Coturnix japonica: one gene and its partners. The protein of the gene in region 1 interacts with the protein of each later gene in a biochemical or structural test. Links are inferred from orthologs where the notes say so. Each region holds a gene or a part of one and is shown in the gene's direction. Other genes may lie near its edges.

The links.
Region 2: the proteins of UBC (region 1) and UBR5 form a complex in vitro, tested with the Homo sapiens proteins (7 studies listed by BioGRID, with this or other methods). The link is inferred for Coturnix japonica from reciprocal best matches to the Homo sapiens genes UBC and UBR5.
Region 3: of the proteins of UBC (region 1) and USP8, one has a biochemical effect on the other in vitro, tested with the Homo sapiens proteins (9 studies listed by BioGRID, with this or other methods). The link is inferred for Coturnix japonica from reciprocal best matches to the Homo sapiens genes UBC and USP8.
Region 4: of the proteins of UBC (region 1) and USP30, one has a biochemical effect on the other in vitro, tested with the Homo sapiens proteins (5 studies listed by BioGRID, with this or other methods). The link is inferred for Coturnix japonica from reciprocal best matches to the Homo sapiens genes UBC and USP30.
Region 5: the proteins of UBC (region 1) and SQSTM1 form a complex in vitro, tested with the Homo sapiens proteins (32 studies listed by BioGRID and IntAct, with this or other methods). The link is inferred for Coturnix japonica from reciprocal best matches to the Homo sapiens genes UBC and SQSTM1.
Region 6: the proteins of UBC (region 1) and UBE2V2 are reported together in a solved structure, tested with the Homo sapiens proteins (6 studies listed by BioGRID, with this or other methods). The link is inferred for Coturnix japonica from reciprocal best matches to the Homo sapiens genes UBC and UBE2V2.
Region 7: the proteins of UBC (region 1) and SPRTN form a complex in vitro, tested with the Homo sapiens proteins (5 studies listed by BioGRID). The link is inferred for Coturnix japonica from reciprocal best matches to the Homo sapiens genes UBC and SPRTN.

The regions. Positions count from the first base shown.
Region 1 is NC_029534.1:5,348,119-5,352,230, forward strand, and holds UBC (polyubiquitin-C), read left to right. Parts: upstream 1-1,312; 5' UTR 1,313-1,473; intron 1,474-1,534; exon of another isoform or gene 1,535-1,659; intron 1,660-2,209; 5' UTR 2,210-2,215; coding exon 2,216-3,589; 3' UTR 3,590-3,731; downstream 3,732-4,112.
Region 2 is NC_029517.1:117,682,761-117,686,348, forward strand, and holds part of UBR5 (E3 ubiquitin-protein ligase UBR5), read left to right. Parts: intron 1-72; coding exon 73-330; intron 331-702; coding exon 703-971; intron 972-2,463; coding exon 2,464-2,675; intron 2,676-2,977; coding exon 2,978-3,208; intron 3,209-3,588. UniProt on the Homo sapiens protein: E3 ubiquitin-protein ligase involved in different protein quality control pathways in the cytoplasm and nucleus. Mainly acts as a ubiquitin chain elongator that extends pre-ubiquitinated substrates.
Region 3 is NC_029525.1:9,622,968-9,626,555, reverse strand, and holds part of USP8 (ubiquitin carboxyl-terminal hydrolase 8), read left to right. Parts: intron 1-1,313; coding exon 1,314-1,458; intron 1,459-1,818; coding exon 1,819-1,876; intron 1,877-2,594; coding exon 2,595-2,739; intron 2,740-3,047; coding exon 3,048-3,210; intron 3,211-3,588. UniProt on the Homo sapiens protein: Hydrolase that can remove conjugated ubiquitin from proteins and therefore plays an important regulatory role at the level of protein turnover by preventing degradation. Converts both 'Lys-48' an 'Lys-63'-linked ubiquitin chains.
Region 4 is NC_029530.1:5,778,834-5,782,421, forward strand, and holds part of USP30 (ubiquitin carboxyl-terminal hydrolase 30), read left to right. Parts: intron 1-61; coding exon 62-156; intron 157-408; exon of another isoform or gene 409-581; intron 582-897; coding exon 898-957; intron 958-1,486; coding exon 1,487-1,573; intron 1,574-2,067; coding exon 2,068-2,148; intron 2,149-3,039; exon of another isoform or gene 3,040-3,125; coding exon 3,126-3,345; exon of another isoform or gene 3,346-3,525; coding exon 3,526-3,588. UniProt on the Homo sapiens protein: Deubiquitinating enzyme tethered to the mitochondrial outer membrane that acts as a key inhibitor of mitophagy by counteracting the action of parkin (PRKN): hydrolyzes ubiquitin attached by parkin on target proteins, such as RHOT1/MIRO1 and TOMM20, thereby blocking parkin's ability to drive mitophagy.
Region 5 is NC_029528.1:4,616,627-4,620,893, forward strand, and holds the start of SQSTM1 (sequestosome-1), read left to right. Parts: upstream 1-1,434; 5' UTR 1,435-1,511; coding exon 1,512-1,689; intron 1,690-1,789; coding exon 1,790-1,885; intron 1,886-2,615; coding exon 2,616-2,845; intron 2,846-2,940; coding exon 2,941-3,097; intron 3,098-3,539; coding exon 3,540-3,629; intron 3,630-4,146; coding exon 4,147-4,267. UniProt on the Homo sapiens protein: Molecular adapter required for selective macroautophagy (aggrephagy) by acting as a bridge between polyubiquitinated proteins and autophagosomes.
Region 6 is NC_029517.1:97,620,189-97,624,217, forward strand, and holds the start of UBE2V2 (ubiquitin-conjugating enzyme E2 variant 2), read left to right. Parts: upstream 1-1,157; 5' UTR 1,158-1,181; coding exon 1,182-1,263; intron 1,264-4,029. UniProt on the Homo sapiens protein: Has no ubiquitin ligase activity on its own. The UBE2V2/UBE2N heterodimer catalyzes the synthesis of non-canonical poly-ubiquitin chains that are linked through 'Lys-63'. This type of poly-ubiquitination does not lead to protein degradation by the proteasome.
Region 7 is NC_029518.1:35,753,693-35,757,951, reverse strand, and holds the start of SPRTN (sprT-like domain-containing protein Spartan), read left to right. Parts: upstream 1-1,402; 5' UTR 1,403-1,403; coding exon 1,404-1,738; intron 1,739-1,923; coding exon 1,924-2,023; intron 2,024-3,148; coding exon 3,149-3,277; intron 3,278-3,385; coding exon 3,386-3,653; intron 3,654-3,923; coding exon 3,924-4,259. Other genes in the region: EXOC8 (exocyst complex component 8), read right to left, coding at 1-1,301. UniProt on the Homo sapiens protein: DNA-dependent metalloendopeptidase that mediates the proteolytic cleavage of covalent DNA-protein cross-links (DPCs) during DNA synthesis, thereby playing a key role in maintaining genomic integrity.

The DNA.
Region 1 (4,112 bases):
CAGGATACACGTCCTGTATTTACAGGTTTGCATTTATTTATACACAGTCCAGTCAGTTGCTTATTCACATGGAGCTACTGGAGGAAGGGCAGTATGTGTGCTAAGTACTTAGATATATTTAACTAGAAAACAACTGCTTTCGTAAATAGTTTACTCATAGGATTTGGCAATAGTTTTTTTGCTTGTTTGTTGAAGGGAGGGCTCTGGCATTTTCTGAAAGTGCCGAAATCCTTCATGCAAACCCAAAACACCCAGGGCAGACTTTAGCTTAGCGTTGTGGTTAATATCCAGTTTAGCAGCTGTGGCCTTTCACATTTGTAAATATTATTGCTAGTTTCTCATGGCTTTCCTCTCAGAGCTCCTTGTTTAGCTGCCTTGGCTCTAACCTCTGCTGCTTTGGTGCTATGTACACGAAAAGAGCCTATTGGAAACAGTGAGCAAAGTTGGCAGTATTAAGGAAACAGCGTTGCTTAAGTAAGGCCTTTGTCCTAAATCTACGTAGTCCTAAATCTACGTAGTCCTAAATCTATGTAGCTGAATAGTATCTCCGAGGTTTCCAGTTTCTCTTTTCCTCCCTTCCCGTCTACATTCTGAGTAACTGCTGGGAAGATTTATGTCCTTTTTACTGTAAACCAAGTGCTGAGCAGTCACAGGCCTTGCTAAAAGAAGTGAAAGCTCTCTTTTTAACTGGGGGAAATACAGCCCTGTGTTCAGTCCTGCTATTCACACACACGTTCGTGCTTCCTAAGCAGAGGATTTACCAGCAAGTTCATCTGTGTTCACCGAGCAGTAAATGAAACAGCAGAGAAACCTTCCTGCTTTCTGCATGCTCTGGTTATGATATAAGAGCTGTTCTGAAAGGTATAATGAGCTTTAATGAACACAAAACATGCCGCCACGTCGGCTCAAAGCAGGAAGCTGCTGTGTGACCTGTTCAGTGCTTCCTGTTCTGAAAGCAGCAGTGGGCCTGCTGTGATTAAGGGGTATTTTTGCCCCCTTTCTCCTTGTCAGACCCTTCCCTAAGCAAATAACAGGCAAAAAGATGCGGCCTAAACACAACGTCCCCATGGGCGCGGGGCCTGCCCGGCCTCTCCCTGCCCCCACTCTACGGATCTGCGCATGCGCACACCCCCCCACCCCACCGAAATCTGCCCCCGCAGAGCAGGGCCGCCCTAGCAACAGCGCTGACCTCACCGCGCACCAATCAGAACGCTGCAACGCTGGAATCTTCCAGAGCTTTCTTTACAACGGATCTTTCCTTAACAACCAATCAGCAGCCACCTTTCTTACTGCTGCGCCAATCAGCGCCGATCTTGCCACCGTTGGGATTAGAACGTTTCATTAGGCCGTTTCACCGCAGCTCCAGATCCATCCGCGCCCTCAGAACTTTTGGGATTTTGAAGGGTCTCCTCTCTCTACCGAGGACATCACGGACCCCATTACTCCTGGAGGAGGGATTGGAGCGGTAGAGAGGTGAGTATTGCTGGTACCGGGGGGGGGTTCGTTTGGGACTACTTTGAGAGGCGGAGGGATACGTCAGCGCTTTGAGGGCGGGGACTGTGCGGCGCAAGGAGCATAAATAGGGGCGGCGCTGCGTCACAGCGCAGAACACAGCGACTGGGATCGGGATTGCATTGATCGGAGCTCAGGGCCGGAGACGTGAGTTGTGTGGGGGGAGCGCTGAGGGGGGGGAGAGAAGGGACGGTGGTTTTTTGTTTTCAAGGCAGAAGGGGTTGGAGTGAGTCCGCTTGGGGTTGTATTTGTGAGGGGAGGTGGTTGTGGACGGTCTAATCCGGCCTAAGGGCGCTTGAAGAACGGTGCGAGGGGGGGGGGGGGGCAGGGGAAGCTTGTGGCTGAGGAAGGTGGGGTGTTATAAAGATGGCGGAGCGCGGCGCTGTGCGGCCCGGAAGCGGGAGCTGAGTCAGCGCGGCTGCAGCCGTTGTGCCAGTGTGAGAGCACGGGGGGGTGCCCTGGAGTTAAAGGAAGGGGGGTGCTGGGCTCGGCCAGCACAGGGCATTCAGAATTATAGGGTCCTACCTCAAGGAAGAGGTGGGGAACAGGAACAACAGGGTTAGTTATAGCTTATTGAAATCCTAAATGATGTAACGTAATGCAAATTAGTAAGTTGTTCTTTTTTTTCTCGTTTGTAAGGTGTATGTGGACTTAAAGTGCTTTTTAGCTAAGGCTAAAATTTCTGTATGTTTTTCAGGTAAACATGCAGATCTTTGTGAAGACCCTGACTGGCAAGACCATCACCCTTGAGGTTGAGCCCAGTGACACCATCGAGAATGTGAAGGCCAAGATCCAAGACAAGGAAGGCATTCCTCCCGATCAGCAGAGGCTGATCTTTGCTGGCAAGCAGCTGGAAGACGGGCGCACCCTGTCTGACTACAACATTCAGAAAGAGTCCACTCTGCACCTGGTGCTGCGCCTCAGGGGAGGGATGCAGATCTTTGTGAAGACCTTGACTGGCAAGACCATCACCCTTGAGGTTGAGCCCAGCGATACCATTGAGAATGTGAAGGCCAAGATCCAGGATAAAGAAGGCATTCCTCCCGATCAGCAGAGGTTGATCTTCGCTGGCAAGCAGCTCGAAGACGGGCGCACCCTGTCTGACTACAACATCCAGAAGGAGTCCACCCTGCATCTTGTGCTGCGTCTGAGGGGAGGGATGCAGATCTTCGTGAAAACCCTGACTGGCAAGACCATCACCCTTGAGGTTGAACCCAGTGACACCATCGAGAACGTGAAGGCCAAGATCCAAGACAAAGAGGGCATTCCTCCCGATCAGCAGAGGCTGATCTTCGCTGGCAAGCAGCTGGAAGATGGGCGCACCCTGTCTGACTACAACATCCAGAAAGAGTCCACCCTGCATCTTGTGCTGCGCCTCAGGGGAGGGATGCAGATCTTTGTGAAGACCCTGACTGGCAAGACCATCACCCTTGAGGTTGAGCCCAGTGACACCATCGAGAACGTGAAGGCCAAGATCCAAGACAAAGAAGGCATTCCTCCTGATCAGCAGAGGCTGATCTTTGCTGGCAAGCAGCTGGAAGACGGGCGCACCCTGTCTGACTACAACATCCAGAAGGAGTCCACCCTGCATCTTGTGCTGCGCCTCAGGGGTGGGATGCAGATCTTTGTGAAGACCCTGACTGGCAAGACCATCACCCTTGAGGTTGAGCCCAGCGATACCATTGAGAACGTGAAGGCTAAGATCCAAGATAAGGAAGGCATTCCTCCCGATCAGCAGAGGTTGATCTTCGCTGGCAAGCAGCTCGAAGATGGCCGTACCCTGTCTGACTACAACATCCAGAAAGAGTCCACCCTGCACCTGGTGCTGCGCCTCAGGGGTGGGATGCAGATCTTTGTGAAGACCCTCACTGGTAAGACCATCACCCTTGAGGTTGAGCCCAGTGACACCATTGAAAATGTGAAGGCCAAGATCCAAGACAAAGAAGGCATTCCTCCCGATCAGCAGAGGCTGATCTTTGCTGGCAAGCAGCTGGAAGATGGGCGCACCCTGTCTGACTACAACATCCAGAAGGAGTCCACCCTGCACCTGGTGCTGCGCCTCAGGGGTGGCTATTAGTTGTTGTCAGCAGTCTTGTCGAGCAAGATGCACAGCACTTGTGTTTGCACTGTAGTCTTTCTGATGTCTTAAATTAAACGCAAGCTTAAGTAACTGCTGATCTGTATGTTGAAATGCTAATAAAGTTTTCTGTTGCACATTACGTTCTGTTGTCTGTCTCAGTTCAAGCTAGTAAACCCAGTATATATAAATGACACGTTCCTTTTGGCTTTCTTCCATGGTGGTTTAAGCATCTTTATGTGGGTTGTGGAGGTATTTGAGGGTGAATCCTAACATGGATTAAAGTCTTAAGTCTAAGCACTAGTACTGTGTCACTAAATCTTGCTAGAATTTAACGTGATTCTGTATTTTCAGAAAGGATGCAGTGTTCCTGTAAGGACTTCAGAAGCTGCTGTCCATCATTAAGGCTGTAGGACTAAGGTAGTGGGAGTGGGTTGTACACTGCACTGTGTTAGAATGGGTGGTGCTGAGGTTCCATTACCTCACTTAGGTGTGACTTCTCAGTGTCCTTGGTGCAGTTTTT
Region 2 (3,588 bases), on another chromosome or scaffold:
TTACTCGATATATGCATGTGTGTATACAGCTGTAGTTGTCAATTACTGCTCACTGCTTGTTTTCTTTAATAGGGGCTAGCAGTGTTCCAGCATTTTTTTCTGAAGATGACTCTCAATCGAATGATTCTAGTGACTCGGATAGCAGCAGCAGTCAGAGTGATGACATGGAACAGGAGACCTTCATGCTTGATGAGCCTCTGGAGCGAACCACAAATAGCTCACATGCCACTGGTGCTGCCCAGGCACCCCGTTCGATGCAGTGGGCTGTACGTAATACCCAGAACCAGAGAACCACTAGCACTGCTCCTTCTAGCACATCGACCCCAGCAGGCAAGTATGAGTAAAATGCATGTGTGAATGTCACTTAACTCCTGGCTTTGCTCTTCTGTTTTCTTCTGTTCGTATAAGAATGAAATGTTATATATTCCTTTAAGAAGGATAGCAATGATATGTCTTGACTGTTCCAGTTCTGGGTTTGAATTTAACAAAAGCAGGGGCCTAGTCTAGTTCTTGAGACGTTACTATCTATATTAAGCATATTTATAATTCTTTTTTGTAGATAGTAACTTATTAATAGGTATAGTTGTTAGGGTCAGTAATATTTACAAGTTTTTTTCTTTCCTAGAAATGTTAATTATATTTGTTAATACATAAAATGCATGACAGAGTTTAAATTCATTAATGTCATACTTTTATATTTAGCAAGTTCAGCAGGCTTGATTTACATTGATCCATCAAACCTACGCCGGAGTGGTACCATCAGTACGAGCGCTGCAGCAGCAGCTGCAGCACTTGAAGCCAGCAATGCAAGCAGCTATTTAACGTCTGCAAGCAGTTTAGCACGAGCATACAGTATAGTGATACGGCAGATATCTGACCTAATGGGTCTCATTCCCAAGTACAATCATTTAGTGTACTCCCAGATCCCAGCTGCAGTGAAGCTGACTTATCAAGATGCAGTTAACTTGCAGGTAAGAATATCCAAAACTTTGCAGATAAGCATAATTTCAATGCAGTGGAATTTTTTTTGAGGTAGGATGATAAAATTGATGAGGTTGAAAGGGACCTTTGGAGATTAATTAGACCAAATTCACTGCAGTGTAAGGCTTTTGAGGACATAGAATTTCTCAAAGAGTGGAAACTTCTTAACTAGTCTGGGCAACGTATTTCAGTGCTGGACAGATCTCACAGTGAAAACATTTTTTTCATTATGTTTAAATGAGTTTACTAAGTATTTCAGTTTGTGCTTATTGCTCTCTGTCTCTTCACTGGATACCACTGAGAATATTCTGGCTTTCTACCTTTTCACCAGGTACAGAGTCATTAAGAACCTACTGAGTTTGCCTCTTGAGGCTAAGTGGTACCAGCTCCCCTGGGCTCCCCTTGTTTGAGAGAGAATGTAGACTGAAGTAGCTCTACTTTACTAGTCTCATTAAATTGTTTGTATTTTGATATAACTATTCTTTAAAAAAAAGAAATTTCTGTGGTTTTTTTTGGTTTGGTTTGTTTTTTTTAATCTACTTAAGTTTGACTGGCACCTGATTAATAGTTGGAGTTTGTGTGCTTTGGATATGTTAGCTCTTGCCCTTTTCTTTTTGACCTGAGTATCATAAAATACAAAAGCTAGTGAGGTCCAAATAACTGAGGTAAAGAATTCTCCAAATTTACTTTTTTGCTGTTGCTTCTTGCAGGCACATAATCATCCCTTCCCTCTTATGTGCATGTTTTTGGTACTGTGCTCTTGACTGTTGGTCTTAAAAAGTATGTGTGAAATGCAGAATGCCCCTTTAGAGAAATAACTGGAAGGGAGGATTAGTAACTGGCATGCATAGGCAGAAACTAATCTCAGACAGTAAAAACATCTGAAGGAGGAACTTCAGAGGGTTTTGGATGTATTTATAGCTTTGAATAAGGGCATAGTGTATGGAGGCAAATAATCTATACAGAAGTTAGTACAGAAATCCGCTGTTAGGGGTATTACTGCTGGTTTGGAGAGTTCAGGAATTCAAGCAGTGATTTATTTATTTATTTTTCTTCTGTTTATAGTTCTGTATTCTGGGATGTGGAAATGAAGTAATTACTTGTAGTTGTTCTATGAGGTATCTCTACTGGCTGTATGTTCACAGACCAAAATCCCCCAAATCTCTGCATCTGGGGGTGCTGCGTGGTCATAAGGCGAGGCTTAGAAAAGGTGCCCAAAGAAAAGAGAGGGATGGTGAGAAAGCTTTACAGACCTCAGGCTAGCAAGTGATGAGAGCTGTACACCTTAATGGTAAACCAGCTGTCTCAGTAAAGGTCTCAGAATTATTTTTTAAACTTTTCACTCTTGAATGGGCTTTTACAGCCCCTTTGTGGGAGAAGTGATGTAAATGTAAAAGCCATGGGTGGGGGCTTATGTTGAAATTGCATTCTTATCATCTAAATCTGTTGTTGGTAAAACTCACTAAATCTCGTTCTGTATAGAATTATGTAGAAGAAAAGCTTATTCCTACTTGGAATTGGATGGTTAGTATAATGGACTCCACAGAAGCTCAGCTGCGTTATGGTTCTGCATTAGCATCTGCTGGTGATCCTGGGCATCCAAATCATCCTCTCCATGCTTCTCAGAACTCAGCTAGAAGGGAAAGGATGACAGCCCGGGAGGAAGCCAGCTTAAGAACACTCGAGGGAAGAAGGTATGAAAATAGTCTGATTGCTGCATGTGCTATGAGTGCTATTTTTACAGTCAAATCTTTACATTCACAGATATTTAAGGATATTTAAGGATTTACTTTGGTAATATAGCAGTAGTTGTTTGGATTTAAAGTGGCTTTTTGTGTTGTTGGTACAATTTTGTTTATTCCGATTTCCCATGAAATCATAATCATTACTCTTATTGCACTTCTTTGAATTTTGACATCTGTATTTCAGATGCAGAGACTGAAATGGAAAGGATTCCTGTGGTGCCTAATTCTTTTGTATTCCTTTCTTTCACCAGGCGCGCTACTTTACTCAGTGCCCGTCAGGGAATGATGTCAGCACGTGGTGATTTCCTCAACTACGCACTGTCTTTGATGCGTTCTCACAATGATGAGCATTCAGATGTTCTTCCTGTTCTCGATGTCTGTTCACTAAAGCACGTAGCCTATGTTTTTCAAGCGCTTATTTATTGGATTAAAGCGATGAATCAACAGACAACATTGGATACTCCTCAGCTGGAACGGAAAAGGTATCATACAAGTCTGACTCACAGAAACAAACTTTTGTAAATGTTGCACATGCCCCCATCTTTCCATCTTTGAAGGTGCTAATCAGCAGCTCAAATAAATACGTTTATCTGTATACATAGCTGACTCTGAACGGAATGCCTCCTATTTATTTCCATGGAAACTACAACAGATACAAAGAGCACAGTACTGCTATTTGATAGGGCAGATTTTCAGCTGCAAAATGCTTTTTCAACATGGTTACCGCCATTACCTGTGTGCTTTTTACCAGTGATGAACGGGAGCTGGCAAGCCACACTTGTAAAAATCTGTACCAGTGGAGGTGACCCACACTTTCACAACTGCTGTGATGGCATCATTGCTAGGAAAGTTTTGCCTACAC
Region 3 (3,588 bases), on another chromosome or scaffold:
GCCATAGGCCAGCAAATAATTGAACTGTTAGTTGTGAACTCAAAGGGGAGCTGCTGACACACTGTATAGTCTTAGAATTACTTCTATGAAGGAGCTGCTGTGTACCTCAGGGTACATGGGAAGCTGATCGGTAAATACACCATATGGACTGAACTCAGCAAAAGCTTTAAATATTCTTTAGTTCCATTAGCTTCCACGGCTAACAAGCTCTGTTCTTGATTTGGCAAAGTCACTGTAAATTAGAAGTCTGTTTAAGAAATAAAATTAGGCTTGCAGCCTGCTTCCTATTAGTGGCCAATTAGCAGAACAGAGTTTGAGGCAGAATTTGATGTCATGATCTAGTTTATTAACGCAGTGTTTAATATGAAATAAAGCTGCATAGTAGTTGTCATTTGAATCCTTATTAGTCATCATCTAATTAGAATGAGCAGTTACTGATATGATTCAGTTCTCAAGCCCTACTGTTTGGCTCAGTCATCAACACTGTTAGTTCCAAACACTTATTGCTTTGTAGAGCACTATTAAGCCTCATCATTTCAATTGTGTTAAATATAATATAATGCCCTTTAACAGCATTGTGAGTGTAACAGCCTGAAGTTGATCTAAAAGCTGTAGTACAGAGGCCACTGGTTTACACTTCTGTGATTGTCCTTACAAAAGCAAGTGGCTGGGAGGTTAACTTTCAAGGCTGAAAGGAACATCTACATGCAGGACTTCGGTCTGCAGAAAAATGTGTATGTGATTCTTGCATAGAAGTAAATGTAGACCTAAAATTTGAACAGCAGGGAAACTGGTGAGGGCACAACAGAACTATAACATCAGCTTACACCCTGAAGATGACCACTGCTGTACAGGTAGTTCTGATCCAACTTCCCAAAAAAAGGAAGTTCAGAGAACTGAGATAACTGTCTAACTATTATCTGCACTGTTGCAAAACCACATAAAATAGCTTGGATGACTGTCACAGTATATGGAAGTTTACTTGCAAGTGACCCATTTGTACTCTTGCTTCCATGAAATAAAGAATCTATTGCAACTAGTGACAGCAGTTTAAAGAAAAAGAATTGTAAGCCTTAAGAGTAATGGCTGTGGAATAGGAGAAGAAAATCATCCCAAAAGCAGGAGAAACAATACAAGCAGTCATGGATGAAAATGGGGGTTTGCTGCAAGGAGTGGGTGCTGGGGAGTATTTCACCCAAGTCCACCCCACACCAGGACTTGCTATTGCTGGTAGTAATTAACTACTGCCAGCTTATTATGTAATATTGGAGGGGGGGCGGGGAAGAAGATACACAACACTTATGTTTCCACAGATATGAGGAAGCTGAAGTACGGAAAAAACTTGAAGAGAGGGACAGACAGGAGCTGCAGAAAAAGCAAGAACCAAAAGACGACGGAAAGAGTTCAGCCAAAACCTCATCAGAAAGTACAGTGGATTGCAAAGGAAAAAGCCAAAGGGTAATTGAAGATATCTGCAAGCTCTCTATTTCAGTTATAGTTTTAATCTACTGTTTGATATTTATTAGCCATCTCCAGCTCAGAATCGTACTGAATCGTGTTTTGGTGTGGGTTGTTTTTGTTTAATTAATTTATACTCCCTACTACCTTTCCAAAGAAAACTCAAAAAGTTGAGTTCTAGTAACCTCAAAGTCTTTAAGACAGTCTTGTAAAGAAGCTTTCTTTTCCTAGACTGCTTCCTGTGGCATAGTTTGGCCAGCTTCCCTCCAGTTGTATGAGAATCAGTGTCTGCTGGCCACCTTGGTTCTCAGGATTAGTTCCTGATTTAACTTACTGTTTTTTCCCTTCTGTACAACACAGATTAATGGTGAAACGAAGCATTCACTGGAAAGAAAGGATCAGGCTGAGAGTTTTAGTGGTAAGAGATAATAACATTTACACAGGTGTGATAAAAGTCTCTACATACCTATGTACCTATTGCTTCTGCTGCTGCAGTTCTTTAAGGTTATTTCACTGTCAGAATATTTGGATAAAATTTTGCTATCCTGTATTTCAGTAATAACAGCTTAGTGACAAAGCTCTGTATTTACATCCTCATGACTTTTCTTGAACTTAGAAAGTGGACCTGAGGTTTGTTTTGTTGTTGTTTTTTAATTTAATAACTAAATTCATAGATAACAAAAATGTCTTTTCAACTGATAAGAAAAAAAAAAATCTAAGCAAGGCTGAGGAGTGACAACTTTTTCAGTTAAATAAGAAATTCCTCCTGCCCATCCCGGTCCTGTAATAAATGTGAAAGTGTTCCTTCTCAGCAGAGAACTCTAGAGAACATCTGCAGTATGTAGCTCATGAGTGCTTACCTATAAGAGTTAAAAGAGTCCATGACAAATTAAACTCATTTATCATCAAGCATCCAGTATTGTCAATTTCAGCAGGTTAGCTGTTAATCACTGCAGTAGCAGGAGCAAAAGAATCAATCTGCTTTGCACTCTCAGCTCCATGGCTTTGTGGGAAGAACGTGTATTAACGTATTGTGTACTTTTCTGTTCTATGTCATCGGTTTGCAGTCTTGATTACTCCAGAATCAATGATACTTTTTTGTAGCTTTTAGTATCTAACAGTTTTTATATTTCTAGGAGCAGTCACAGCCGAGAAACTGTTTGCAATGATGACAGACAAAAGCATTGAATTGATTATAATGGATGCTCGAAGCTTGAAGGACTACCAGGAGTCCTGTATTCCAAGATCTGTCAGCGTCCCAGAAGAAGCTATCAGTGCTGGGTATGGAATAATGTTAAATGATAATGAAACATTTCATTTCCCTGAAATGGTGTTTCTTGCTTTCTCTTAAAACAAAAAAAAACCTAACTCTGCATTAGAAAGATCATAGGCTTTTACAGCTCCGACACTTTAGTTTCAGAGTCCCCAATACATACAAATTGTTGAAATACATCCAGACTGTTCTTGCATGTACCAACTTAAATCCAGAGAGCATGTAATTTATCCAGACTCATAAATGTATATGGTTCTATGTATTGTTGGATGAAGTGTTGCCATCTCCCATTTCAATGCATATTGATACATTTCAGAGTTACTGCTAGCTGGATTGAAGCTAGACTCCCAGAGGATTCTAAAGATCCATGGAAGAAGAGAGGACACTTTGATTATGTTGTACTGCTGGACTGGTTTAGTTCTGCAGAAGACTTAGAGCTAGGAACAACTCTTCGGAGCCTGAAAGATGCACTTTTTAAGGTTGGCAAGTTTCATATTTTGTATTATTTCATCTCATAAATAAGACATTCCAGGTAAACATCTTGGTTCAGTTTTCCAAGACTGCTTATTTTGATAGCAGAAGTATAGACTGAGGCTTTGCTTCCCCCTGCTTCTGCTGTAGTAGTAGAAAGAATTCATTAAACAGACAAAGAGCAGAATGATTCAACTCCCCAACAGTTAGTTAGTAAACTTTAAGTACAAATATCATTCAGACAGTTCTCCCTGCTTACTGCTTTACAGAAGAGAACACAAGCCTGTGTGTCTTGTTCACATTCTAGTATTAAGGACCTCAGGAGGAGGCCATGCTGGAGCCTGAACTCTGAAGGGCTTTTCAGAAAGCAAATGTGTTGTTTACCG
Region 4 (3,588 bases), on another chromosome or scaffold:
AAGTTTGGAATGATAGTGATGAACGTGAAGATAAAAGGATGATTTCAACTTTGTGTTTCAGGATCTCTTCCTCCTATGTCAAATCACTGGAAGTCTCAGCATCCTTTTCATGGAAGGCTGACGAGCAACATGGTTTGCAAACACTGTGAACACCAGGTATAAGAAAGCTTGTTGTGTGTAGGTATACATGAAAAATGATGCCTGAGATTCAGTGTGTTCTGAGGTGAAACCATCATCCTTTGTTTCCAACATAATTGGTTTAAGCTCAATAGTTTGCAGGAATAACAGCTTCAGCCATTATTTTTTTCAGCTACTTGTATGACGTTTTGTATTGAACAAGAAAACATTGCTGAGCATACCAAAGAAAATGAAGTGTGATGCACTTCTTGTGGCTGACAGCTGTCTTACCAGGCAGAATAATTGTTTTATTACATTCAGTATCCAATATCACAGATATTATATACTGAAGATCCACTCACACGGGTAGCACTTTAGGACTAGCTGTTCGTTCAGCATGTGGTATTGTGATGGCGCATGCAAAGGCAAATTAAGTTGCAGTCACCTGAGGAAATGAAGATCACCTGAATAGAGCAAAAATACAGAAAACAAATGTAATTCATACATCCAACTATAAGGTACTTCTCAAAAACATGCAGATTTAGAAGTGAGCAGGGGCAGCTTCAGTAGAAACAGGCAGAGTAGTACCTTGTGCACTGCATCAGGTGTTTCCTAGCACTAAAACTGGTGGGGAAAACAAGTGTTTTAATGCTGTTCCACTGGATATACACAGATATGCTTGCTTTGCAGAACACTGTTGGGAGGCAGTGATTGACCTGTTTTGTTCTTTAGATCATTGCAGGTATTTTTGCTCACTGCATTTGAAATATTCTCTTGCAGAGTCCTGTGAGGTACGATACGTTTGACAGTCTCTCACTGAGTATTCCAGCCGCTATGTGGGTATGTATCTGCCTTTGATGGGTGACCCAGCCAGCACTGCTGCCTTGCCATCAGGGCTTTATCTTCACTATTATCCTTCTACAGCCTCAGTAACACCTAAACGAGGTGTTACTATAACTATTGTTGCCTTCATAAACAATCCTGATGTGTTAACACAGTACCTTACTACTAAGGCAATGCGGCAAATGAGCAATTAGTATTATGGGCATGATGTTGGCACTGAGTTTTCCTTCTCCTAGTGGATTATTTGGGGTGTTTTTTTTGGTTAATTTGAACAGACCAGATTGCATCCTGAGGGTTGTGCGTCACTGGCAGACTCAGATGACCTTCCAGTGCCCTGTCTCTGTGGTGAGAGAATGCCAGTTAACCAGCACAGGCATTCAACTGGAAATAGTTTCTGTTTCTCACTGGCTTTGTGAAGATCTTTAAATGATAAAACACTGTAGAGCTGGGGGCAAAATGTGCAGGACCTTTGTACTGTAACAGTTACCTTATGTCTGCAATTAATTTCTTTTGCTGTTGTTCTAAGGGTCATCCTATGACACTGGATCACTGCCTCCATCACTTCATCTCCTCTGAATCTGTGAAGGATGTTGTGTGTGACAACTGCACTAAAGTATGTCATTGTAATGCATGTCTTCATGACTTCAGGAAAGCCTTTAGCTTGCCTGGAATTTATTATTCTTAAAATAGTTATTACCCCACAGTATTTTGAAGCTTTATTGTTAACATAATAAAACTTACAAGTGCTTTATTTGGTATTTGGGTAATATTTAGGAGAACAACAACAACAAAAAGTCCTGTTTTTAAATGTTACTTTATATTTGCCTGTACTTCGATGATAGAAAGCCAAAATGGATTGTTTGAAACCTAACAGAAATGGCTACATGTAAACTAGGTTTGTCTTCTAAGAGCTCATTTCTGCTCAACTTGGTGTTAAAACGTGGATCTATCAGAATAGGCCAACAGCTCTTGAGAGAGGCAAATTGTAGAAGATATTCATGACCCAAAGGTAGCTTGATATGCAGCATGCAAACCTGCAGCAGGATTATTGCTTGTAATTTGATAATGGCATGTAATCAAACTTCTCTGTTTTCCTTTTGTTTTCAGATTCAGGCAGAAGGGACTCTGAATGGACAGAGCATAGAAAACCAGAGAACAACATTTGTTAAGCAATTAAAGCTAGGGAAGGTAAGGCAAGCTGACCCTCCAAATCCATTTTTAAATCCTGTTAAATAGTAATCTCTTTATTTGATCTGTTTGCTTGATGTCTACTTCTGCTACTTATTACAATTCTCTGTTCCCCTTAAAAAGAGAAAAAAAAAAGACAGCTTTTTGTCAACCATTTGTAGGCATTGAAGCCTCAATCCAACAAAGCTCTGAACTCTTTAGCTTAAAGAATGTGAGTATTCTACTGTTATTCACCAAAACACTTGAGTTTGGCTTAGGTGCAGTTTGCTTGCCCTGTATTAGTTTTTTATTCCCTTGGTGAGTAAAGCAACTCATATATACAACCTATTTGTAGGATAATATGTGCACTTCAGAGTTAAAATGTTCTAAATAAAGAAGGTTTAAACAAGAGAACATAGTGCTAAAGAATAGGAGATTTATATTAGAGGTTCTTACAAGTTTCTTGTTCTGTGATCATATAATTCAGGGCCATTCATAATACAGTTTCATTACTGACAAAGGCATGACTTTGTCTGTCAGATATTTATAACTCCTTGACCTTTTTTCCCTGGGTACTCTTACTATGTGATGCCATTAGTTATGGCATATTAGGAAATGCCTGGCAGCAACTTACTGACACAATTCTAGTGCTCATTCCTACCTTACTAAATGAGATGGGCTTTTGAGGAATGTGTGTGATTTTTACCCTTTTTTTTCCTTCCCCCATTTGGAGAAAATAATTAACATGCTCTATCCTACTGCCTAGTGAGCAATAGAAGCACTATTAGAGATCTCAAAAGTTGTGAGATTTTTCTTATGACTCAGAAATATTATTGCAGTAAGCTTAGATACAGAAATAGCATGTAAAGGAGCAACAGTTCAGTGACTTATTTCCTTATCTACTGGACTCACCATTTAGTTCCATTAGAATGCTTTTAACAGCTGTTTCTCTTCACTTAAAATGTATTTTGACTTCTCTTTTGTATGGAACTTTGAAGCTCCCTCAGTGTTTGTGTATCCATCTGCAAAGACTGAGCTGGTCAAACCAAGGTACTCCTCTGAAACGTCATGAACACGTACAGTTCAATGAGTTCTTAATCATGGACATCTACAAATATCACATTCCTGTTCATAAATCAACTCAGAATGATCTGAATCAGAAAAGCTCTGAAGAGACAAAACCTGGAACAAAGGATGGGATAGCAGTAAAACCTTCAGGTATTTACCTCTTGTCTTTAGATATCATACCTGTCTCAACTGTAAGGGACTGTGATATGTAATGAATTAAAATAAGCAAACTACCTTCACATTCTGTGATGACACTGTAGAAACAGAAGCAGTTATTAGCAATACTTGTAGCATTTTAGTTAAATTACCAATGTCTGCTTTGTTTTGCAGATGCAGAACAGACGCGTGGTACCAAATCGCTCCTTATGAATGGGGCCTGCTCCTCTTCATTTC
Region 5 (4,267 bases), on another chromosome or scaffold:
AGAAGGTGGGTGGAGGGAGGAAGCAGAGCTGCGGGGCTGCTGAATGCTCCTTTCTGAGCCCTCCCTCTGCAACTTGGAGTCGTGAAACTGGAACAGTTTTATTCCCATCCTCTTTGCTGTCCTCCTGCTCCGTCCATCTGGGGAGCTGCTCATAAGCCGGGGCTGACAAGTGGTTTTTTGAGCAAGGGTTGTTCTATGGATGGAATGTGGTTCCTAAAGAAGAGCAAGAAAACATTCAGTGCTGCCAGATAAATTCCAGGCCTGGGTCCTCCAGGTTAATACAGGCTCAGGTTAACAAGAGCTTAAGCCAAATCTCAGGCTGCAGAGCAGTGTGCAGTTGGGGTTGGTGGGGAGACATCTGTCTGTCCGTCCGGCTGTGGGATGGGAGGATGCAGTGAGTGCCATTGGAATACATGGGAGCACGGCAGGGCCGAAGCACCAGGCCACGGGGAAACACCAGAGTCAGGGCCTGGAGGAGGAAATCCCCACCTCGAGGAGGAGCAGGGAATGCTGAGTCACCCCGTCCCGTGACTGAGCTGAGCTCACTGCTCACCGCAGGCCTTGTTTGCTTTGTGCTTTGAGAAAGTGAATGATGTCACGGCCAGAGAGCCCAGCGTGACTCAGCAGGCAGCTGAGATGGGACGCTCTCCATGTTTACTGGATGGAAGTGCCCATGGAGGAGAGCAAGGACTCATGTTGATGCCTGGCTGTGGCTCACACCAAGCTCTCACTTGTCACCTCATGCTGCACGAGTGCCACGTCCCAGGAGCGTGCTGTGATCCCAGAGCAGCCACATGTGCACCAAGGGCACATCCACACGGCAGGCCGTGTTGTGGCACACACAACCCATCGTGGGGGGACGCTCACCCTGCAGTGCAGCACAGCATGGCTTACACACTGTGATTGCCTCAGCCCAAGGTGGGCAGCCAGGCTGTGGGCTGGAGGGAATCAGTGCTACAGAGCTGAGGCAAAGGGGTTGCTCCAAAAGTAATGCCTCCCATTTGCAGGTGGGATGGCAGCAGAGGGTGAAGGAGCCAACAGCTGCTGAGTGTTATGGAGCCCAACGAGTGGGTGAGCACAGCACTGTGAGCACAGCACTGTGAGCACGGCATGGCCGTGTGTTTCACAGTCACCTGTAGAGCAGCATGCAGCCTCGTGTTCACCACTGATGACAATGCACAGCACAGTGGTGGTGACCGCGTTGAAAAACAGTGCTTTGTAGCTGAGAACCTGCTCTGTCAAACAGCGTCACTGTGATCTCTGTAGCTGTTGTAGTTTCCATGCAGATAAATAGGAGGCATTACTTTCGGGGCGAATATGGGCTCTGTATTTCCAGGCGGCGGGGCGGTGCCTAATGGCAGTGGTCGTGGTTTAACCCAGGGCTGTGCCCACCCCGGCCCGTCCCCCCGCTCTATAAGGCTCGGTGCCGCCGCTCCCTCCCGCAGCACCGCCCGCCCCGCGCCGCCTCCCGCCGCTCGTTGTCCCGCAGCAATTCGTGCTGCGCCACAGCCATGGCGGCGCTGACGGTGAAGGCCTACCTGCTGGGCAAGGACGACGCGGCCCGCGAGATCCGCCGCTTCTCGCTCATTGCTCCCGTCCGCTACCAGCCCGTCCACGACCGCGTCGCCGAGCTCTTCCAGGGGCTGCTGCGGGCCGGGCCGCCGCCCGCGTTCCGTATGCATTACAAGGGTGAGCGGGGCGGGGGGGCTCGCTGTGGGTCGGGGCCCCCTTCGTTGTCCGGGAGGTGGGTGCGGGCCGAGCGCCTGACGGTGTGCTCTGCTCTGTCCAGATGAAGACGGGGACCTGATCGCGTTCTCCACCGACGAGGAGCTGGATATGGCCATGCCTTACGTGCAGGACGGGGTCTTCCGTGTGTACATCAAAGGTAACGCCCCGCAGCCCGGTGGCACCGAGCGCTCTGTGCTGCTGGCACGGCTCCGAGACCGGGAAAATCCCGGTCCTGTCCCTCATCCTCGTGCTGCAGCTCAGAGGGGAGGTTACATAAAGGGCGAGGTAAAGACGGGCACAGACCCACTGTGTGCAGGGGTTCCTCCTGGCTCCGGGGCCTGGGTTGGCACAGTGAGCGCTGCAGTGTTCAGGATGGTCCTAGGAACCCCCTGCCGTACTGCCAGCAGGTGCCATGACATGTAAAGAAACCCCAAAACCAGCTTATTCCTAAGCACATCATTCCCCAGTCCGCTCTGTTCACTTGGACACCTACAAAGCTTTATCTGTAGGCTGTGATGTGAGTAGTGTAGGCCGCCCTTCTTGTCTCAGTTCTCACCTGCAGTGTCCCCTGGCACTGCTCAGCTCTGTTCAGAAACATTCTCTTCTCGCAGCACTCCACAAGGTAGGAGGATGCTCCAGGCAGGGTGGTGCAGCACTGATCTAAAACAAAGTGTTTGAAGAGCGGGTATCCTTGAACCACCCCTTTGCACTTGGTTTATGTTCTTATGTGCCCCCAGCTTGTGTTTGGCAGCCAGTGTAAAAATAAACTGCCCTAGTAAGTCAATACTGCTGTGACAAGGGCTGTTTGTGTTTCCTTCCCCTCTGCCCGATTTCCAGCCTTTAAATAGTACCCTCGTTCTTGATGCAAAGATCCCTTTCCTTAATAGAGAAAAAGGAGTGCAGGCGTGAACATCGCTCCCAGTGCAGCCAGGAGCCTCCCCGGGACATGGTGCACCCCAATGTCATCTGTGACGGCTGCGAGGGGCCGGTGGTGGGCGCTCGATTTAAGTGCACCGTCTGCCCAGACTACGACCTGTGCAGCACCTGTGAGGGGAAAGGCATCCACAAGGAGCACAACATGGTGATGTTTCAGAGCCCGCTGCTGAATCCGTTTGAGGTGAGCAAAACCTATGGAGCAGAACCAACAAAAGGGATGCTGCCCAAATGTAAGCTTTAAGTTTCACCTGGTCCCATGAACGTTACCCTTTGCAGTGGATTCCCAGAGGGCGCTGGCTCCGTAAGATGCGGCATGGTGTTCCACCCTTCCCCTGGATGCACTGCTGGGGGTATCCCGCACCTGCAGCTCCGTGCCAGAACTCGGAACAAGCCCAGGCCAGTGCTGCTGCCTCCAGTCCACCCGCTGCTGGAGGTAAGAGGAGATGGTCTGCTAAAGGAGAATAGTAGTGGAGGAGCCAGAGAAGCTGGGACTTCACAGCCCAGTGTGGGATCTGGGTGGGAAAATAGACATGGGAACTAATCCAATTTGTGTGAAATAATGAGCCCTTTCCAGGACACTGGTGTGGTCTGGTGGCCACACAATATATGAGGTTATGGAGAGCCTATTTGGAACCAGACCAAGCAGAGCTATTAGGTCAAGCATGTCACTGCTCTGCTCTTAGATGTGCTTTCAGCATGGCTGATGAGCCTTAACAGTGCTAATGCCACTGGTCTTCTGTTCCAGAGGTGGTTTTGGTCTCTCTGCTGCCTTGGTGCTGTGCAGATGAGTGACACAAAACAAGCACCAAGAATTCCTGGGGATGTGCTCTTTCCCTATGGGCTGCTATGTGTACTAACACAAATTGTTCTTCTAGAAGCTTCTACTAACAGCCAGCCCCAGGACCCCAATGTCACCTTCTTAAAGAACGTTGGGGAGAGTGTGGCAGCTTTTCTGAGCCCCCTGGGTAAGTGACTTATGGTGTGTCATCCCCATCCCTGAGAATGGCTTTGCTCCCACCAGGAGCAGCAGCCAGCTGTTGTGGCTGGTACCAGAACCACTTTGTGCTACTCAGCCTCAAAAGCCTTAAGTTTCTGTGTACTAAAATTGTGTGGGTATAGGCCATCTACTCAGTACCTTTTCAGAGTCCTTTGTAAGGATCCAAGGAAGGGATTAATTATATAACCCCAAATCACCGATGATTTAAAATCATGTTACAGTGGTATTTTGCTTAGGCACACATACTTAAGGTCTGCCTTGACCCTCTAAACACATGGCCTGTCTTTTTAGTGCAGGATGACTAATTGGTGCATCAGAGCTAACTAAAAGAACGCTTTGCACTTGAATTCATACGTATTATATGGGGAGCTGTAGGGTTACAGTCATGCTGCAGCACTTAGTCCAGGATTAAAGTTTGCTTTTTTTCTTAGAACCGTGCTTTCAAAAATCTAATGGTTTTTTCTTGGTCTCAAATGTATTCCCAGGTATTGAAGTTGATATTGATGTGGAACACGGAGGACAGAGAAGCAAAGTGACTCCTGCTTCTAATCAAGAGAATAACGGTGCCGAGTCAAGCAGCAGTACTGCTAATCAGAACAGTCAGAG
Region 6 (4,029 bases), on another chromosome or scaffold:
CTGTGTAAAGAAAAAAGGGAATTGAGCTTTGCTTGATTTGTGATTGTACTGCCATTCATTCAGATGTCTATCCTTTATTTCACTTAAAGTTACACGAAAATAGATAAAAATAATGTTTGCAGTAGACTTGCTCTAAGATACAGTTATCATATGTTTGTGCTTGCTGTAAACAGAGAAAAGGGGAAATATTATTCTTTATTTGTCTTTTCTCCAGACATTGTTCCAAATATTACTTAAACAGTCATCCTCAGGAATGGGATGGATACCATTTCTTCCTCCTGCATCCTGCCTTTTCTTTATTTCCTCCGTCTGCAATTAACATCGAAATAATTTGTTGCCAGCAACCACGTGTCCTACATCAAGTCAGCAGGTGTAGATGCAGATGGACCATGGAGTCCTTTGTGTGCTTCCAGAGTTACTGAGAGCCAGTTGCTTTGGGTTGGTAGCCTTGCTGCCCTATTTGTATCATGTCTGAGAAGACACATGGGCGTATTATTGACTGTTAGTATAGAATCACCTGAAAAAGCAGATCCTTCAGAAAAACAAATGGGCTGAATCTCGACCAGAAGAATAAGGACAGTTCACGTTGTATTTCTTTTTTCCACTCCAGGCTGTGGTATCTTCTACAGTGACCGCTGTATCACAGTATTATCAAGGTTGGAAAAGATCTAGAAGATCATCTAGTCCAACCATTACCAATACTTCCCAGCTAAATCATATTCATCTACACAACATCCAGATGTTTCTTGAACACTCCCATGGTTGGTGACTCCACCACCTCCCTGGGCAGTGCATTCCAATGCCTGAATACCCTTCCCGAGAAGTAATACTTCCTAATGTCCAGGATGTTATAATAAAGGAGAAAAGTCTTTAATTATTATAGCTGCGTGTGCGTGTTCATACTGTTTGCTGTACTCGGAAAGCTCACTTCTCATTCTATCACTGCAAGCACTGAAAGCGCTGCTTATTCCCGTTTGCTCAGAAATAGCAGCTTTGTCAAAAGAAACAGAATGCAATGGAAGAACTAAAAGCTTGAGCAGATGCAACGTTTCGTATATGGAAAGACAACAGCCTCAATCGGCTCCCTGTGTACCCCCTTCCCTCACAGCCAGGCCCCACCCCATATATCCGCCTCCTCGCCCGCCCCTCGGAGCGGCCCGCCCCTATGCAGGAAGTGCCGTATGCATTTGGCGGTAGTGACGCGCTTGGCGTGCAGGCCCGGCCCGGCGCGGGGGGGTTTGGACAAGATGGCTGGCTCCACAGGTCTGTGAGGGGGCTCGGCGGGCCTGGGATTGTGGCGGGGGAGCTCAGTGTTGTGTCTGCGGGTGGGGACGCCTCATGAGGGCTGGGTATATCTCCTTTCTCGGGGATTGGGTGAGCTGTCAATGGTGGGAGCGAGTGGAGTGGGGTGGAGGACTCATCCGATGGGGGAGAAAGGGAAACGGCAGCACCGCTGGGCTGGGCTCGGCCACGGGGATGGACCCTCTTGTCTTTAGGGCTGCGACGCCGCCGTGAGATCCTGAGTTACGTCGTCAATGGGGTGAGAAAGTACATCGGTTCTGGGAATCAGTGTGGTGGGGTGGAGAAGACTGTGCTAATAGGCAGGAAGGGGTGGATGTGTGTGTGTGTGTGTGTGGAGAGAATGGAGGGGATGTTGCCAGCCCTGGTAAAAAAAAATGTAGCAAGGATCTGTATTGCTGCACCATCTACACGTCTGTGTACAGCAGTTGTAGTGTAGCATCTTTCCAAAGTGAAGGTGGTGTCTTTTTGCTCTTTCTGCAAGGGGACAGAGGTCTGGCCTTAGAGGAAAAGTACTGCAGTTGATTGGTGACTGCAGTGTGCTGGGGATAAGGAGTGAAGCGTCTTGTTCTCTTTCAGTGGGCAGCCAGTTTATCATGTGGGCAAATGAAAAGGCAAAGAGCTGCGAGGTGTAACTTGGAAGCAGGAGAGAATGAATTCTGTAACCAATACAGAATCTGTTGGGTGGAATGTTGAGGTAGCAGGTAATAAACGAATAGACAAGAATACTTCTTCAAGTCACGAATGGAAAAATTTAAGAAGCATAGTTACACCATCTCACTTCTGTTTCATGAAGGGCTTGAAAAATAAGATCTTTTTCTGCTGTAAAAAGCTGAGAGCTACAGGGCCTCTTTCATTCTTTTCTCACTCCCGAGAGCTTATAAGATGTAAATGGGATTGACAGAGCTCAGGACAGAGGAATCAATTGACCTCAGTGCTCTCTCTAGGCTAGACATTGTCCAGGCCGATTCATTTCTGTTCCCAATCCACTGGCTCGTCAAAGGATTGAGACTATAACAAAGCAGGAAAAAAAATAGCAAGTGAAATGTCTTATTTTGGTACCTTATTGTTGATTCCTCAAGGAGATTGTTTTTCATGCTAGGAGAACATTCTCTCCACTTGGTAATATGACTTATGGAGATGTGGGATGCACAGAGTCCAATTTGGAAAGATTACAACGAATTGGACATAGAGCAGCTCTTGCAAGTCCAAAGAGCAGTCCAAAAAAGAAATATTATTACCTATGTCAGGCTGAGCTGGAATAGATACATTAGAGAAAGTTCAGTATTTACTCAGCTATGGATTACTGCAATTAAAACAATTAGCATAATACCAGATATCAGAGTTTTAAAGAATTTACGAATACTTTTACTATTAAATAACTTCCAAAGTCTTCTGCTGTTGTCTGGGCTCTGACATGGGGTTTCCTGCACAGGAAATAAAGCTGTTTTAAGGCATGTGCTTTGAGTATTGGCATTTTGCATGTCAGTACTGACTGCAGGCTATTGTAGAGTATCTGTTACTAAAAATTTGTATATAAAAAAGCTGATTTTTTCCTACAGTGTATTTGACTACATAAAAAGCAGTAATTTTTAAACAAAATTCTCATGGTTTTACTGTTATAAATGTCCTTTGTAGTCTTACATGTGATATTTTAGAAGCTTCTATATACTTTGTATAGTTTAACTGAATAGCGCAGTAGTTTTTGTCTCAGGAATACAGTTGCCCAGGCCTCTTCTCTCGTGTAATCAGTGATAGAACTAGAGGGAATGGTTTTAAGCTGCACCAGGGGAGATTCAGGCTGGACATTAGGAAGTATTACTTCTCAGAAAGGGTAGTCAGGCATTGGAATGCACTGCCCAGGGAGGTGGTGGAGTCACCGACCATGGGAGTGTTCAAGAAACGTCTGGATGTTGTGTTGATGAATATGATTTGGCTGGGAAGTATCGGTAATGGTTGGACGAGATGATCTTCTAGGTCTTTTCCAACCTTGTTAATACTGTGATTCTGTGATAAAGTTCACAAAATATGGGAAATGTACAGAATCATACATGCATCTGTCCCAAACAACAAAGTCATTTTAATAAAACAAAGCATGCAAACCCTCCTTAACACAACTGCTAGGAATATTTAGTCATATCTCTTGGAGCAAAATGCTTATTACAGTGGGGAAAATGCTGTTGGCTTTTTATTGACATATGCACAAATTGGAGATAGGGAAAGAACAATGACAACAAAGAAGTCCTATAGTAGGTAGGAATGTGTAGGTTTCACACAGACTGACTCTTAGCAGGAAGCAATGTTAAGCTCTTCTCTATGGAAAAGAGGAAGGAGTGATTTATTGTAGACATGAGTTTTACCTCTGCCTGCGTGAATTTCATCTGCTCTTGCTGTCGTGTTCAACTTCATCCTTATTTATTTCAGAAAAATGAATGTATCGATCGTGTGAAATCCAGTTGTGAAACTGTAGCACCAGGGAAAACCAACAAAACTTGCTAAGGTCAACTGTCTCAGTTTTATTCCAGAAATTCCTTTAATAATGAGATTTCTAATTCTTTGAACAGTAAGAATAATGCCTTTTAAAAACAATATCATTTGAAGATAGCTTTTCTTTAGTGTGTGCAAGAGAAAGTGTGTATGTCAGCACTTTAAGTAGCTGAGAAATTTCACAGAATCACAGAATTATCAAGGTTGGAAAAGACCTAGAAGATCATCTAGTCCAACCATTAC
Region 7 (4,259 bases), on another chromosome or scaffold:
TCAATGCGCAGCTGTCGGATGGCTGTGTGCACCGCGGCCGCCCGGTTCTTCAGGAAGAGCTCACACGCCTTGGTGGACTGGCCCAAGCGAATAAGCTGGGACACGGCTCGGCGTGTGGCCCGTGGTCCTCCTCGCAGCGAGCGGTCCGGAGACAGCTCAAAGACCAGCACGTCCGTAAGCTGCCGGACCCGCTCATCCACCTTGGCCCGCAACTCCTTCACGGGCTGGCTCACAGGCTTGTCTCCCAAGTACTCGTTGAGTTTATCGAGCAGGTCCACAGCCCCTTCAAAGTCCCGCTGAGCGATGCAAACGTCCAGGTCCTCCGGCAGCTCCTGGATCCACTCAAGCGAGAGGTCGACCACCTCCTCCTCAACGGAGGGCTCTTCTTCCTCCTCGTCCTCCTCCTCGAAGGGGTTGGTGGACTCAGGAGGTGTCGGGGCGGGCCGGGGCAGGGCCTCCTGCTCCAGGCGTCGCTTCTCGCTCAGGGCTCGGTTGCGCTTGGTCTCCTCCAGCACTTCCAGCCACTCCTTCTTGATCTTGGCGTTCTCGGCCTGGAAGATGCGGCTCTCGGGGAACATGAGCAGCTTGAACATGTCCTTCATGGGCGGGTTGTCCTTGACGTTGACCACGGCCAGCCCTTCGAGGGGGTACAGGGCATCGTAGCGGTAGGCACCGCGGCGGTTGGGCAGCGCGGTGGCCACCAGCAGGCAGTCATTCATCAGGAAGGCGTGCACCCGCTGGATCTGCGCCATGTGGTCGGCGTCGTACTCCAGCAGGTCGCCGTTGTACACCAGGTACTTGCCGGGGCTCTCGGGCAGCAGGTCGCGGCATCCCTCCACTTTCTCCAGCAGGGTGGTGAGCGTCCGCTGCCGGCCCTCCTCGCTGGCCGCGGCCTCCTTGGCCGACAGCGGCAGGAAGGGGTCGGCGGCGGCGGCGGCGCGGCGGGCGCCCAGGGCGGGGTCGTCGCGGTCGGCTTGGAGGAGCAGGGCCTGCGTGACGGCCTCCATGATGCCCTTCTGCTCGGTGAGGATGTGGCTGAGCTGGTACATCTCGCTCTCCAGATAGCTGATCTCTCTCGCCGTCTCGATGAACTGCCGGTAATTCTGGTAGACGTTGCGCTTCAAGCTCTGCGCCGTCTCTTCTTGCAGCGCTTGGATGCGCTGCCGGTGCTCCTGCAGATCCCGGTCTCCATCCGACTGCTGCGACAGCTGCTTCACGTACTCCGCCGCCGCGAAGCCCCCCGACTCCAGCTGCCGCCGCAGCCGGCTGCCACCGCCGCCCTCCCCCAGCGCCAGCGCCATGCTCACACACACCGACACCGACACCGACACCGACACCTTGGGAGGAGGAAGGGGCGGGCGGGGAAGCGCGGCGCACAATGAGTGCGTCAGTGCGGGGTGTGCATGCGCAGCTCAACGGAGCTGGTTGGCGCAGTCATGGCCGCACGGGGACTGACGGCGGGTGTGGAACGAGAGTGGCAGCAGCAGCAGGAGGAGGATGACTTCGCTCTGGCGCTGCAGCTCCAGGAGCTGTGGGAGGCGGAGGAGGAGGCGGCGCCGGCTCGTGTAGAGGCCTCGCCGGACCCCTTGTCCCTCCGTCCGCTGTCGGTGGTGGATGAAGCCTGGGAGCTGCTGGATCCCAGCCCCGACGTGCACGGCCTGTTCGTGCAGTTCAACCAGGCGCTCTTCTGGGGGCGGCTGGCGGCCGTGGAGGTGTCGTGGAGCCCGCGCATGACCCTGTACGACATGGGGGGGTGAGGGGGGAGGTGGGGCTGGGAGCCCCCGGGTGCTGCTGATGGGGTTCTGCACCCTCCTCTCGTTTGGAGGGGGGCTGCTCAGTATTGAGCCGCTCTGTGACAGTTCTCAGCTGACTATACATAATAAGAGCATCGCTTACGATGTTTTGTTCCCTGGTCTCTTTCAGCTGCGCTGGAGTGTGTAAATACGAAGGGAACAGCGGGATGTGTTCTATCCGCCTGAGTGAGCCGCTCCTGAAGTTAAGGCCGAGGAAGGACCTGGTTGAGGTACACGAAGGCTGCTGACATATCCAAACTGGAACTGTTCAATGGAACAGGCTGCCCAGGGAGGTGGTGGAGTCTCCTTCTCTGGAGATATTCAAGACCCGCCTGGACACCTGCCTGTGTGACATGGTGTAGGGAGCCTGCTTTGGCAGGGGGGTTGGACTCGATGATCTCTAGAGGTCCCTTCCAACCCCTACAATTCTGTGATTCTGTGAAACATGAAACAGATGGCACCTCACCTCCCACATCTTATGTTTCATACTGGAGTTCATACATATGGTGACTCAGATATTATGAATGCTCAGGTTTGCTTAATGAACAGAGGTGCTGTAATTTCAGCCTCCTTACATGTAGCTCTTTGTTCGTGGGGGTGTGACCTCCTTAGAGGTCTGACGAGCTTCAGGATTGTTTCTTCTTATTGCAAGGACACTCAGCATTGCACTGGAGTAGAATTAACAACTTCACACATAGAATAATTATTGTGGACCATCACTCAGTGTTATATGGAAGCAGAGTTAATGATCTCACAGGTAGAATAAATGTTGTGTTTTTATGACGTATAAAGATGAGATCAGTGCAGAGATGAATGAAAAAGATAAAACATTTCAAGCTTAGTTTTTAAATTACATGTAATGCTTACCCTGGAGCACGTCCCCTATGAGGACAGGCTGAGGGAGTTGGGCTTGTTTAACCTGGAGAAGAGAAGGTTGCGGGGTGACCTCATTGCAGCCTTTCAATACCTGAAGGGAACTTATTCCCAGGAGGGGAGTAAACTCTTCGAAAGGGCTGACAATAGCAGGACACGGGGAAATGGTTTTAAGTTGAAAGAGGGAAGATTTAGGTTGGATGTTGGGGGGAAGTTCTTCACTAGGAGAGTGGTTAGGCCCTGGAACAGGCTGCCCAGGGAGGTTGTGGATGCCCCAACCTATTCAAGGCCAGGTTCGATGGGGCCCTGGGCAACCTGATCTAGTAAAGGTGTATGTTTGGTGGCCCTGCCAGGCAGGGGGGTTGGAACTACATGATCCTTGAGGTCCCTTCCAACCTGGGTCATTCTGTGATTCTCTGTGATGCTGTTCTGTGATTCTGTAACGCTCTTCCATTAATAACTGATGATTTTCATTGTTTCAGACACTGTTGCATGAGATGATCCATGCTCTGCTTTTTGTTACTAACAACGACAGAGATCGTGAGTCTCACGGGCCGGAGTTCTGCAAACACATGCGTCGCATTAATCGTTTGACTGGAGCCAATGTCACAGTAAGCAAAGTTCACTTAATGTAAAATATATATATATATAGTCATGAATATATAGTAAGAATTCTTCTGATTGATTGGAGCTTGTTGTATCTTTTTGTTAACACTTAGATCTATCATAATTTTCATGACGAGGTAGATTCGTACCGGCAGCACTGGTGGCGATGCAACGGCCCCTGTCAGTATAGAAGACCTTATTTTGGGTATGTGAAACGTTCAATGAATAGAGCACCCTCTGCACGAGACTTTTGGTGGGCTGAGCATCAAGAGAAATGCGGAGGTACGTTCACAAAAGTGAAAGAACCTGAGAACTTCTCTAAGAAACACAAGGAGAAAACAGAGGCAGGAAAACCTCAGGATTCCAAGTCAACCAACAAAGGTATTTAAAATCATTTATTTCTTTGTTTTCCCAACTGTTCTTATCCAAACAGTCCCTTGAACTAACATCATGATGTGAGCTTTGTATTGGGTATTAAATATTAAGTAGGAAAGAACAGGGCCTATTTTGTTAATTTCCAGGCTTCTCAACTGTATTGTTCATGAGGTTTATTCTGCTGCGGTGTTTTCAAGCTGCAGATTTTCTCACGTAAATTGGTGGTTTATATATGAAAAAAGTTGTTAGATTTTTGTGTTTTCTTCTTCTTTGCAGGCCTGGTCCACTTGGGTGATAAGAAAGATCCAAAGCCTTTTAGTGGGAAGGGGTATCGACTGGGAGGAGCAGGCAGTGGACTCTCAGAGAAAAGCTTAACGTTCAGCAGCAGTGTTAAAAACAGCGAGAGCTGTGATTCGCAGCATCGTTGGGCAGGAAGCACAGTGCCAAGACCTAAAAATGAGATCAAGTTTGAGAAATCACCCCGTCACGATACCTTCTTTCCTCTCTTTAGCGGTGATGCTAGTGAGAAAATGAACTTAGCTTCAAAGCGGGAGTTCCCCAAGCTCTCTGTTGCTAATACAAAAGCGTACAAGAATGTTAATGGGTCACCTG